3 linked regions of the Xenopus tropicalis genome follow. The protein of the gene in region 3 purifies or fractionates together with the protein of the main gene of each other region. This does not show direct contact. Links are inferred from orthologs where the notes say so. Each region holds a gene or a part of one and is shown on either strand. Other genes may lie near its edges.

Region 1 (3,760 bases), on a different chromosome or scaffold from region 3:
GAATTTCTCAATAAATTAGTCCAAAACACAACTTTTTAAGTTCAATCCTTCTGTATTTAGAGGAGTATAATTCACTGGTATATTCTTAATTTTTATATGATATGTCTCTGGGTTCAGAATACTGTAAATTGATGCTGTTCTCAGGGCACCATAAACAAGAAACAAATTGTTACTGCATAGTAAACTATGATTTTTTCATTAGTTAGGGTGGCCATACGTCATAAGATCCGCTCATTTGGCAAGGGCCAAACAATTAAATGATGGGAATCGACACCTTTATACTGGGTTTACTTCAATATTGGCATAATTGTAAAAACAATCAGCAGTATCAGAACACTCATCTTGCTCTCTAGTTATGGTTGTGCAGAACTAGGCCTCTACAGACAGCAGTCACAAGAAAAACAGGAGCTTCAGAGCCCCAAAGAAGATAATGCAGATAGAGAGAAGCAAGTTGATATCAAATCTAATTGACTGGAAATAATGTCTAATGAGTTTAATGCCATCAAACAAATTGTATGAACCAGAAATCGTTTGTTGCACAAACATAGGAACAAAAACATAGTCCTGTTCAGAATAGTTAATTGCCTATAAGGTAATTCCATGTACCAAACACTTACAAGATGATGCCTGCAGGACCCAGGCAGATAAATCAGTGCATAGGAGTATGGAGGGGACAGACTAGAAGAGGCACCTGTATACTGCTATCCTTTTCTGTTGCTGTATTTGTGACAGACAGGCAGGGAACTGAAATAAAGGCAGGTGTACAGGCAATGTACTGATTAATCATAAAGGGGGTTATGTAACAACAGACACACAATGTTCTCCAGCTCTTGTATCTTACAGTAGTTGCTATGGGTTACTGGAACTAGGGCAATCTTTGCACCTGCTTTCTGCGGGGTTGTATGTGAGTATAAAATCTCTTTTAGTGACACTGGTGTGGGAGTGATTTGTGTATGTGCACTTTAGTTTCTATATCAGTTTCATACAACGAGTAGGCTGACGTTGGGTTTTATTGCCTGGCTGTCCAATATGAGGACCAAAGGGCTGACACGGTCCTCAAAGCGGTTCGGCCCCTAGCTTGCCCACACTGACTTTGGATTAAAGTTTATGACGTGGGTTGTATTTAAAACTATGTTTTATTTGCCAGACTACCTGCCCGCTAACTGGAGTAAAGTTAAGTAGCCGTGTTCTGCTGCATTTAGTCGTGACAATATGAATTAAAGCGATTACTATGGATACTGGGAACTGCAGTATTGTATTATTGAGGGTCACGTGTGCTGGCAGTCCGCTAAAGCAGGAATGTGCAGGTGAACTGAGAGTTAACTCTTGGCGGGCTGGAGTAGGAGGAGTAAGTGTGCTTCTGACGGGCAGGCAGAGGGTTAAGTGTGGGCTTACTGGTGGGGGCTGTCCTCTCGGCTGCTCTCCTCTTCCCTGGCTCCTCTCACTCAGTCCTCAGCAGCTGGAAGATGGCGACGGTGGAGGGGAGTGAGGAAGAGCAGGCTGAGCCTTTCTGCACTGCCCAAGGGGACACGGATAACGTAAGCGCCTCATTGTACTGCAGTTACTCCATGCAAGTGCTGCCCCGGCAGTGGGATCAGGGGGAGCGATGTGCTTTTAGCTCTGAGTCTTAGGAGCTGTCACTGGTTTATTAGAGCGATATTGATTCCTGCTTCTGGCGTACAATTTTCTGGCTTTAGTAAGAAACAGAGAGGTGCATTCGAGGGCTGCACAAATGGGGTTCGCAGCTGATTGCAGGGATAATATATGGGGACGTGTATTGGTTAAGCCTGATTCTTGCAGGGATAATATATGGGGACGTGTATTGGTTAAGCCTGATTCTTGTGCTGTATAATGCGAGCGTGCCTAGGGATTTATGTAATAAAATGTGTCAAGTGATGGTTATATGGTTCCGCCTCCCAATTGCACTTCCTAGGAATGGTGGGAAGCCGCTTGGATCTGCGCCTCCTTTCCAGTGCTTGCGATTAGCTTTGTCGCATAGGTTTTGTCTAACTGCGCTCCTCTAATTGTGTGCACTGCTGTTGAATAGGAGATTTGAAAATTCTATGAGAAGGCTGGCTCTCAGTGTATGTAACATCAGCTGTGCAGGGGAGCTGTGTCTCTATGCTGACTATCATAGACGTCTATAAATAATAGAAGACTAAGCAGCTTGAGCACAGGGATTCGCTTGTTATGATCAATATTGTATTAGCTGTATGACGACAGTGGGTTTTATTTCAATTAGTAATGTTACGTGTGTAATTTATTACCCTGTTTTCATAAGGGATATCCCAGAAAGATGGTAGGACATGGGGATTCAGTCTGCAGTTAAGTCCCCTCCACAGGGCAGACTCCCTGTACCAGAGCCCCACCATAATAGTAAGCCCAGAGTGTTATTGGGGGGGGGGGGGGCAGCATCTTTTGATAACCCCCAAATATGGAAGAGAGTAGGATATCTCTAGCAGCCTGTCTACTGCTGCTTACTTTACACACTATCCTAACCTAGAGCTCAGGGAGAAACTAAAATATTAATCTTAAAATATTACCCTTTCATAGACCCCAGGATTCTCAAGAAAGACTAGGAATAAGATTTTTTTGGATCCTTCTTTCTCAAAAGGGATTAGGAATAAAGGCTTGTTCCCTGCAGGTAAATGTTGTAGCTGGATGCTTAACAAGTTGCACATTATTAGTGACAATAAACTGGCCACCTAAGTAGCTGGTAAGGGAGCCAAAGAAAAAGACACACAGTTTGTAGATTTTGTGGCTTTTTTCCATTTTTTGCCCATTTGCCATATGAAAGATAAATTACTAGATTCCCCCTCAACTATGGATTGGTTATTCCACCAAAATTACTGCATTACAAATGATTACTCTCTGCACAATTGTCCATATATCCTTGCATTAGGACACGGTGCAATATAATGTGTTATACTGCCTATGCTATTTCCCAGCTCAGTGGAAAAATGCTCACTATTGCTGCTGCAAAGATGTACATGGGTATTTCCCTTACCCTGATGGTGTGATTGTTGGTGGGGCCATTAATGTCTGTCAGTCAACCTTTTTAGAGCAATAATTACTTGACTTGTGATCACACCAGTAGGGCAATGGTGTTTACCCTGAAAGTCTATGAAGCTGCAATTACAAGGGGGGTTGTGAGCATTTTGCAACCCTTCTTCCTGGAAATAGTCCTGGGTGCCTTTTAAATTTCCATTATATATATCAAACATTATTTATAATTTTAAATTAATTTGAATACAGAAACAATATATCAGAAAGCAGGTCCTCTCTAATCATAACTCAATTTCCCACTATTCCTTGTTCAATTCTGTTACTCTTGGAGTACTGGTTTGAGAAGAATTGACTGATGATACAATGTTGCAATGGTATGCCCAGCCAGGAAAAGGAGAGAAAGAACCTACTCTAAGTTGGAATTACATGTACACATATCTTTAAAACCATCGTTTTAATTGTTTATATTAATGTAAATTGTTTAGTTGGTTAGAATTTCACTTTTCTTTTATGCAAAAAAAAGTTTATGGGTGGACATTTTGAATAGATGTGCAAAGCTTATATTTCTTGTGCTTTAAAATAGTTTAACAGTTTAAGAATTATTATTTATGCCAACTACTTTTATAATACCAGCATTACTTGCTACTAAGTATATTATATTACAAACACGTATTAAAGGAGAAGGAAAATTAAAAACTAAGTAAGCTTTATCAAAAAGGTCTATGTAAATACAGCCATAAGCACTCACAGAGTC
Region 2 (2,408 bases), on a different chromosome or scaffold from region 3:
ATCAGGGTGCACTAGGTTTTTTCCCAGTGCCCTGTTGGGCCATTCCAACCTTGAATTCACAGTGCCCCAATATTCCAGTTTGGGTGCCATTGTGCACGTGCTGTTTGCTAATTACCAAGATTAGTTTAGCTGTGAACCGAAGGTACACAGCTAAACGTGGGGGACAATGCTGCCAATCATCTCTATAGTTTTGCTATGGGGGCACAGATAAGTTGTGGCATATGTCAGTGAAGTGATTAAAGAGGGGACACTGCTGCTAAAACTAAAGATTTGTCAGGGCGGCTTTACTTTTCCTTTAAATAAAAAATGTGTACAATATATTCGCTCAAAATGTTATTATTGACTCATTCAAGTCAATAATGTTATTATTGACTTGATTCATTGAGCTAAAAGTAGGATAATAATGCAAATGTGAGGTAAAAACTTTGTATATGTAACATTGTATAAATTGCACTTTTTGTTTAGTCAGTGTTTTACTTGTTTATAAAAATGTTAATGGGCTTGTTGCACCTATTGCTCTAGGGTTAGACACAAACTTGTCCTCTGACAATAGCCTGGTAACCACCATTAATATGCTGGTGACCCCCCCTCCCCAATGATGCCTCTACCAGAGGTGTGAAATGGAGACTGGGTGAAATAAAGCAAAACAGAAGAGCTTAGAAGTGATCTGAGTTACACAGCGCTTTACTCCATTGTGAAAATGTTGGAAAAAATGTTGTTAAAATGTAATATAAACGTCGTTTAAAAGACAAATTCCCAAAAGTGCCTTTAAACTGTCTTTCTTTCACCTAAAACTAAAAAGAGTCATAATATAGGCGGATTTCTGTTTGTGAATATGGAGAAAGTGTTTTACACCAGTTTTACCATCACTCTTGCTCCAAAAAAAGGCTATATCCATTTTTGTGAATTCCCCCCGATTTATATTAAAAGTTTAGAAATGTTAAAGTACATATGTAACCTAAGCATCATAGGGGTTGGGATTCATATTGATTATCCATGTCAACTATACACACACATTGCTACAGGTTTTGTAAATTTGCATAGAGCTTTGTATAATCAATACAACAGCAAACAGCATCCCAGAGTATCAATTCCACTCCACCCTTCCCTTGTTTCAACTTAAAGTGATGGATTTTGGAACTTAAAAGTCCATGACCTCTGCTTTACATGGTGGCCAGTTCACATATTCTCTAGGAAGCAGAGAGACTTCAAGTCCCAGAATCTACTAAGGAGGTCCCTGCCCATGGATCTTACAAGTTCAACTATTATTATATAACATAATACTACTTTTGTTTAACCCACTTCAGCAGTAAAATAGCTTCCTTTTAAGCAAACATGGAAATGACAAAGGAGCAGTATAAATAATGACTAAAGTACGCATGAACAGCTTGAATAATAACCATTAATGACAGGTCTGCCGAAAGCATGTCAGTTACTTCAGCTGACTTCAGCTGTGTTTTATTGACTATTGTAAATTTAAATAGGTGAAATTAGAAATAGGCAACAACTTCAATGAGATTTAATCAGTTAGGCTTTTTTTGATTCCAACCCTAAAATTAATCATGGTAATTTTAGTAGGTAAATGTGGAAATCAGAATTATCCAACCTAGAGAAAGATTGGATGAATGCAGTGTTTGATGCTGTACGTATATATGCTAATACAATGAAAAAGTATAGTATTCCTAGCCTAATCATATGTAGCCTTAGTTGTTCTTTAGAAAACTGTTATATTCCCACATATATTATATTCATACATTTATACATGTATTTTTATGCCTCTATATTTTCAGCTGGAATTTGAGAAGTCCCAAGTTAAGAAATTAGAAAAAGAACAGAAACGACTTTCCAGTCAGCTGGAGGAAGAGAAAGCCCGCCACAAGCAGCTGTCATCTGTGCTGATGAAAGAGTGTACAAAAGCCAACAACAGGGCAGTGGAAGAAGGACAGAGAGTAGATGATGTTAACCTAAAGCTGGAAAAGGTTAGGAGCAGAGTAAGTCAGCTAGAAGAAGAGCTATCTCTTGAAAAGAAACGAGGCTTGCAGATAGAAGCACAGGTGGAAAAGCAACTTTCAGAGTTTGATATTGAGAGAGAGCAACTGAAAGCCAAGTTAAATAGGGAAGAAAATCGCACAAAAACTTTGAAAGAAGAATTGGAGTCCTTAAAAAAGACATTGAAAGAGCTAAACACCACCCACCAAGTTTCAGTGCCTTCATGCAAGGTAACAAGTGAGCTGGTGTCTATTTGTGTATCAACAGAGAATGCTGACGTAGTATCTGTGTCATGCCAAACCGATCCCTTCCAACATGAAAAAAGTTACACAGATAATTCTGCAAAATCCAATGTCTCATTTACTGCTCCATCTAAGATTCCTCAGCCATATTCCAAAATAAATGGACACTGTAATACA
Region 3 (3,760 bases):
TATCTGTTTCTTTAAGCAAAATCACACTTAATTTCTTGTGTCTGATGTAAATGCACATAATACATATTAATGACTTCTCTGAGAAAGCCAAATGATCAAATTAGCCCAATATCGCCCACTTTTAGGTGGGCATATTGGGAAAAGATCTGCTCACTTTGCTACCTCGCCAAAAGATCGAATCTTACAGTGTATGGCGACCTTTACTGCAGACGGGGGGAGGGGGGGTTAAATCAGGATGACTTTTGAGAAATAAAGGGGAGTAAACATGGCTGACTATAGATATTGCTTTGTTCATCAGTTGTTAAAATGTAATCTTCTGTTGCACCATTTGAGCTAGTGCCCAGCACATGTGCAGATGAGTGGAGCAGATAGCCAGAACAACAGTAAGGTGGCGATTTCATGTATAGTATGTGTATGGTCTGATCAACTGGACAATGTGTGGGATGGGCCCATGTAACACTCCACCTTAACACTCCATTGAGCAAGATATGTTGTAAGGGGGCTTTCATTAGGCAACAGGTAAAGATGTATAAACACAGCACAAACACTGGAATAAAAGCTAGAATATTTTGCTTCAGACAAATATAAATAGTACATGATGTGTTGATTTAAACAAATAATTTGATATATTTTTATGTTGCTAGTTCATAAAAGGAGAATGGGGGTGCCAACGTGTTACCCATCCCAGTGAATAAAATTGCCTACTTTTTACACTGGTCTGACACTACCTGTGGACTGGTCCTTTCCAGTGCAGTACCACAACACTATCTTCCTCCCTTCTTTCAGTTATTCCTTGGGCAGTAGCAAAGCTTTGGAGTTGATGTCTGCTGACCTGCCATTTTCCTATACCCGTGTTATGAGTCTAGGGGGACCCTGACTATCATTAGGTTGAGATTTTTTTCCACTTCACACTGAATGGTATGGCCTAAAACATGGCCGATCATTATCACATTCACGATATGATCTCTGGGTGCTTGAACTGAAAAAACACGGCCATATATGTCACTATGAAATAAAGCTGACCGAAAAAAAAAAAAAAACCCTTCTCACAGGAAGCCCGACTGGAAGGGCGGTCCCGAACGCTTGGGCTGCGTGACGTCACTAGCCGCTGTCAGAGTGGCAGGAGACCCGCCCAGACAGCAGCGACAGCCTGGCTTCCTTCGAGTGTGGGCGGCAGCGGAGCCCGGGTTGCGGTGGATGTAGGGGCGGGAGATTGGACGGCGGTCAGGACGTATGTTACGTGACAGGACCGTTCCATAATCAAACCTTATCGCTTGCTTGCGGAGTGGACGCGCTCGCTTTCCCTTCTTCCCTCTCCGGAGCCATCGGTGGCGGCCCCTCGCTGTTAACCGCGGCCCCTGCCACGGAGGGCGGCCATGGACGAGCAGGCGGGGCCCGGCGTATTTTTCAATAACAATAACAATTCGCTGCTGTCCGCTGGTGCTGGCCCAGGTGGTGCCGGGAAAGGGTTCGAGGCTGGTGCAGCAGATGCGGCCTCAGTGGCCGGGGGAGGCGGAGGAGGAAGCGCTGGTACGGCTGGTAGGGCCCAGTACAGTATCCCTGGCATCCTGCACTTCCTTCAGCATGAGTGGGCTCGCTTTGAGGTGGAGAGAGCTCAGTGGGAAGTGGAAAGAGCCGAGATGCAGGTAAGGCTGGGGGCTGCTACTGAGCCCAGGCGTCTGTCACTTTCACCTCTACATTCCCATATGTGAAACGTACAAGAGTTTGGCGAGAGCTTGCCTGCATGTGTGAGCTGTGTGCCTGTGTGAGCTATATGTGCCTGTGTGAGCTATGTGTGCCTGTGTGAGCTATGTGTGCCTGTGTGAGCTATATGTGCCTGTGTGAGCTATGTGTGCCTGTGTGAGCTATGTGTGCCTGTGTGAGCTATGTGTGCCTGTGTGAGCTATGTGTGCCTGTGTGAGCTATATGTGCCTGTGTGAGCTATATGTGCCTGTGTGAGCTATATGTGCCTGTGTGAGCTATGTGTGCCTGTGTGAGCTATATGTGCCTGTGTGAGCTATATGTGCCTGTGTGAGCTATATGTGCCTGTGTGAGCTATATGTGCCTGTGTGAGCCATATGTGCCTGTGTGAGCCATATGTGCCTGTGTGAGCTATGTGTGCCTGTGTAGGCTGTGAGCCCAGGAGCAGGCAGCCTTATATCTGAGTGTGTGAGCCCAACTGGCCATGGAAACCAGGGCTCCCATTTATACACGAGAGGAATATGATGTGTGGGAGGAGACCCTCACAGGCATGTACAGTATCAGGCATGTACAGTATGTGTGAGATCACACCCAGACATTCTATATCATGGGAACACCTGAACTGTGTTTGTAAGCTTCTACAGTTCTGACTTGTGAACATCATCATTACTTATTTACAATATCTTCATTTGTCATTCTGTGATGTTAGATATTGACAGTCATAAGGGTAAAGAAAGATCTCAATGAACTGTTTTTTTGCCCAGTGAAAGCAAAAGTACAGTCATTTCCTAATATTCATTAATAAAAAAAAAATAGCGGTTTGTGTTTATCCCTTGCTGTTCCCTGGTTCTGACTTTTGGAACAATGTCGCAGAAGTCAGTTCTCCCCCATATCTTCTAATTAGCATCTGCTACAATGTTTCAGGGCTAGGAATCAGAACTGTAGCTTTGGACTGGAATTGCATTTGCAAATAATTTTTGTAATGTGAATAATAGGTGTTGGAAAGTTGCTTGGAATCTTCTTTGTCATTAAGCAATGTGGGTAATTTTACACATGCTTTTATCTGTCGGCACACATAAGTTGACCTCCATTTTATTGAAACACCATCTATTCAGTATTTAGCACATGTATGATGTGCACAGTGATGTCATGTGTGCCATATGTGTAAGCTTACGTTAGGTATATTTCAAATGGAAATGGAATGGACCCACTGCTGGCTTCTGTTTACACAGAAACAGATCACAAACTAATTTGAACTTGCTCTTGCCCTACATATGGAGGTTACTGAAGTTTCTAGATATGTAGACACGTCAGCCCATTGGCTCATACTGCATGCATGCATACATCCACAAAATCTTATTTATAAAAAATTTTAAAAAAAATAATGTACCCCTTTCACCTCAGATTGACTTTGTATACAATAAAACCATCATCAGTCATGCTGTTGCTGCATGTGGGTTAAAGTTTATGGACACTACACATAATTTTTCACTTCCACTAACAAATATCTCTTGGATGGGGTCTAGTATTTTACTTTTAAAGGAGAAGAACAGACATACAATACAAGAATTCCAATACTTTCCTGCATGTTACATTTATGTATACATTGTTACACTGGTATCCATATACATTATGTTCACTCTGTCTTTACGTGTACAAATGTTAACAGTACTCCAGCCTACATAAGGATCTCACCACCCCAACCCTAGCATTGCTGACACAACCAACTCTATGCTCTCAAGTCAGTATCAGACCTGCAATTACAACTGGGCTGGGACTGTGTTAAAGGGAATTAAATGAAAATAATAGAGCTTTCCTTATTTACTAATAGTACTGACATGATCCTGTCAATTATAGGATCCTGTCAATTATATCGGTTTTGTGAACCAAGTAGTTATGGCTTATACATTTTGATTACTCTATGGTTTGCACTTTGGTTCTGGCAAAAAACAACAACATTTTTTTAAAATACAAATCGGAGGATGTTCAGAACAGTAAATAGTTGGCGGCCACCAATTGTACAAAAAATGACTTCCATTTTAGGTCCCTCAAGGATATC

What was found.
Region 1: the proteins of strn (region 3) and cttnbp2 purify together in Homo sapiens (affinity purification with mass spectrometry; 3 studies listed by BioGRID and IntAct, with this or other methods). This does not show direct contact. The link is inferred for Xenopus tropicalis from reciprocal best matches to the Homo sapiens genes STRN and CTTNBP2.
Region 2: the proteins of strn (region 3) and cttnbp2nl purify together in Homo sapiens (affinity purification with mass spectrometry; 5 studies listed by BioGRID and IntAct, with this or other methods). This does not show direct contact. The link is inferred for Xenopus tropicalis from reciprocal best matches to the Homo sapiens genes STRN and CTTNBP2NL.

Annotation. Positions count from the first base shown.
Region 1 is NC_030679.2:68,649,579-68,653,338, reverse strand, and holds the start of cttnbp2 (cortactin-binding protein 2), read left to right. Parts: upstream 1-1,386; 5' UTR 1,387-1,466; coding exon 1,467-1,538; intron 1,539-3,760. UniProt on the Homo sapiens protein: Regulates the dendritic spine distribution of CTTN/cortactin in hippocampal neurons, and thus controls dendritic spinogenesis and dendritic spine maintenance.
Region 2 is NC_030678.2:60,505,452-60,507,859, forward strand, and holds part of cttnbp2nl (CTTNBP2 N-terminal-like protein), read left to right. Parts: intron 1-1,790; coding exon 1,791-2,408. UniProt on the Homo sapiens protein: Regulates lamellipodial actin dynamics in a CTTN-dependent manner. Associates with core striatin-interacting phosphatase and kinase (STRIPAK) complex to form CTTNBP2NL-STRIPAK complexes.
Region 3 is NC_030681.2:49,995,942-49,999,701, forward strand, and holds the start of strn (striatin), read left to right. Parts: upstream 1-1,287; 5' UTR 1,288-1,376; coding exon 1,377-1,646; intron 1,647-3,760. UniProt on the Homo sapiens protein: Calmodulin-binding scaffolding protein which is the center of the striatin-interacting phosphatase and kinase (STRIPAK) complexes.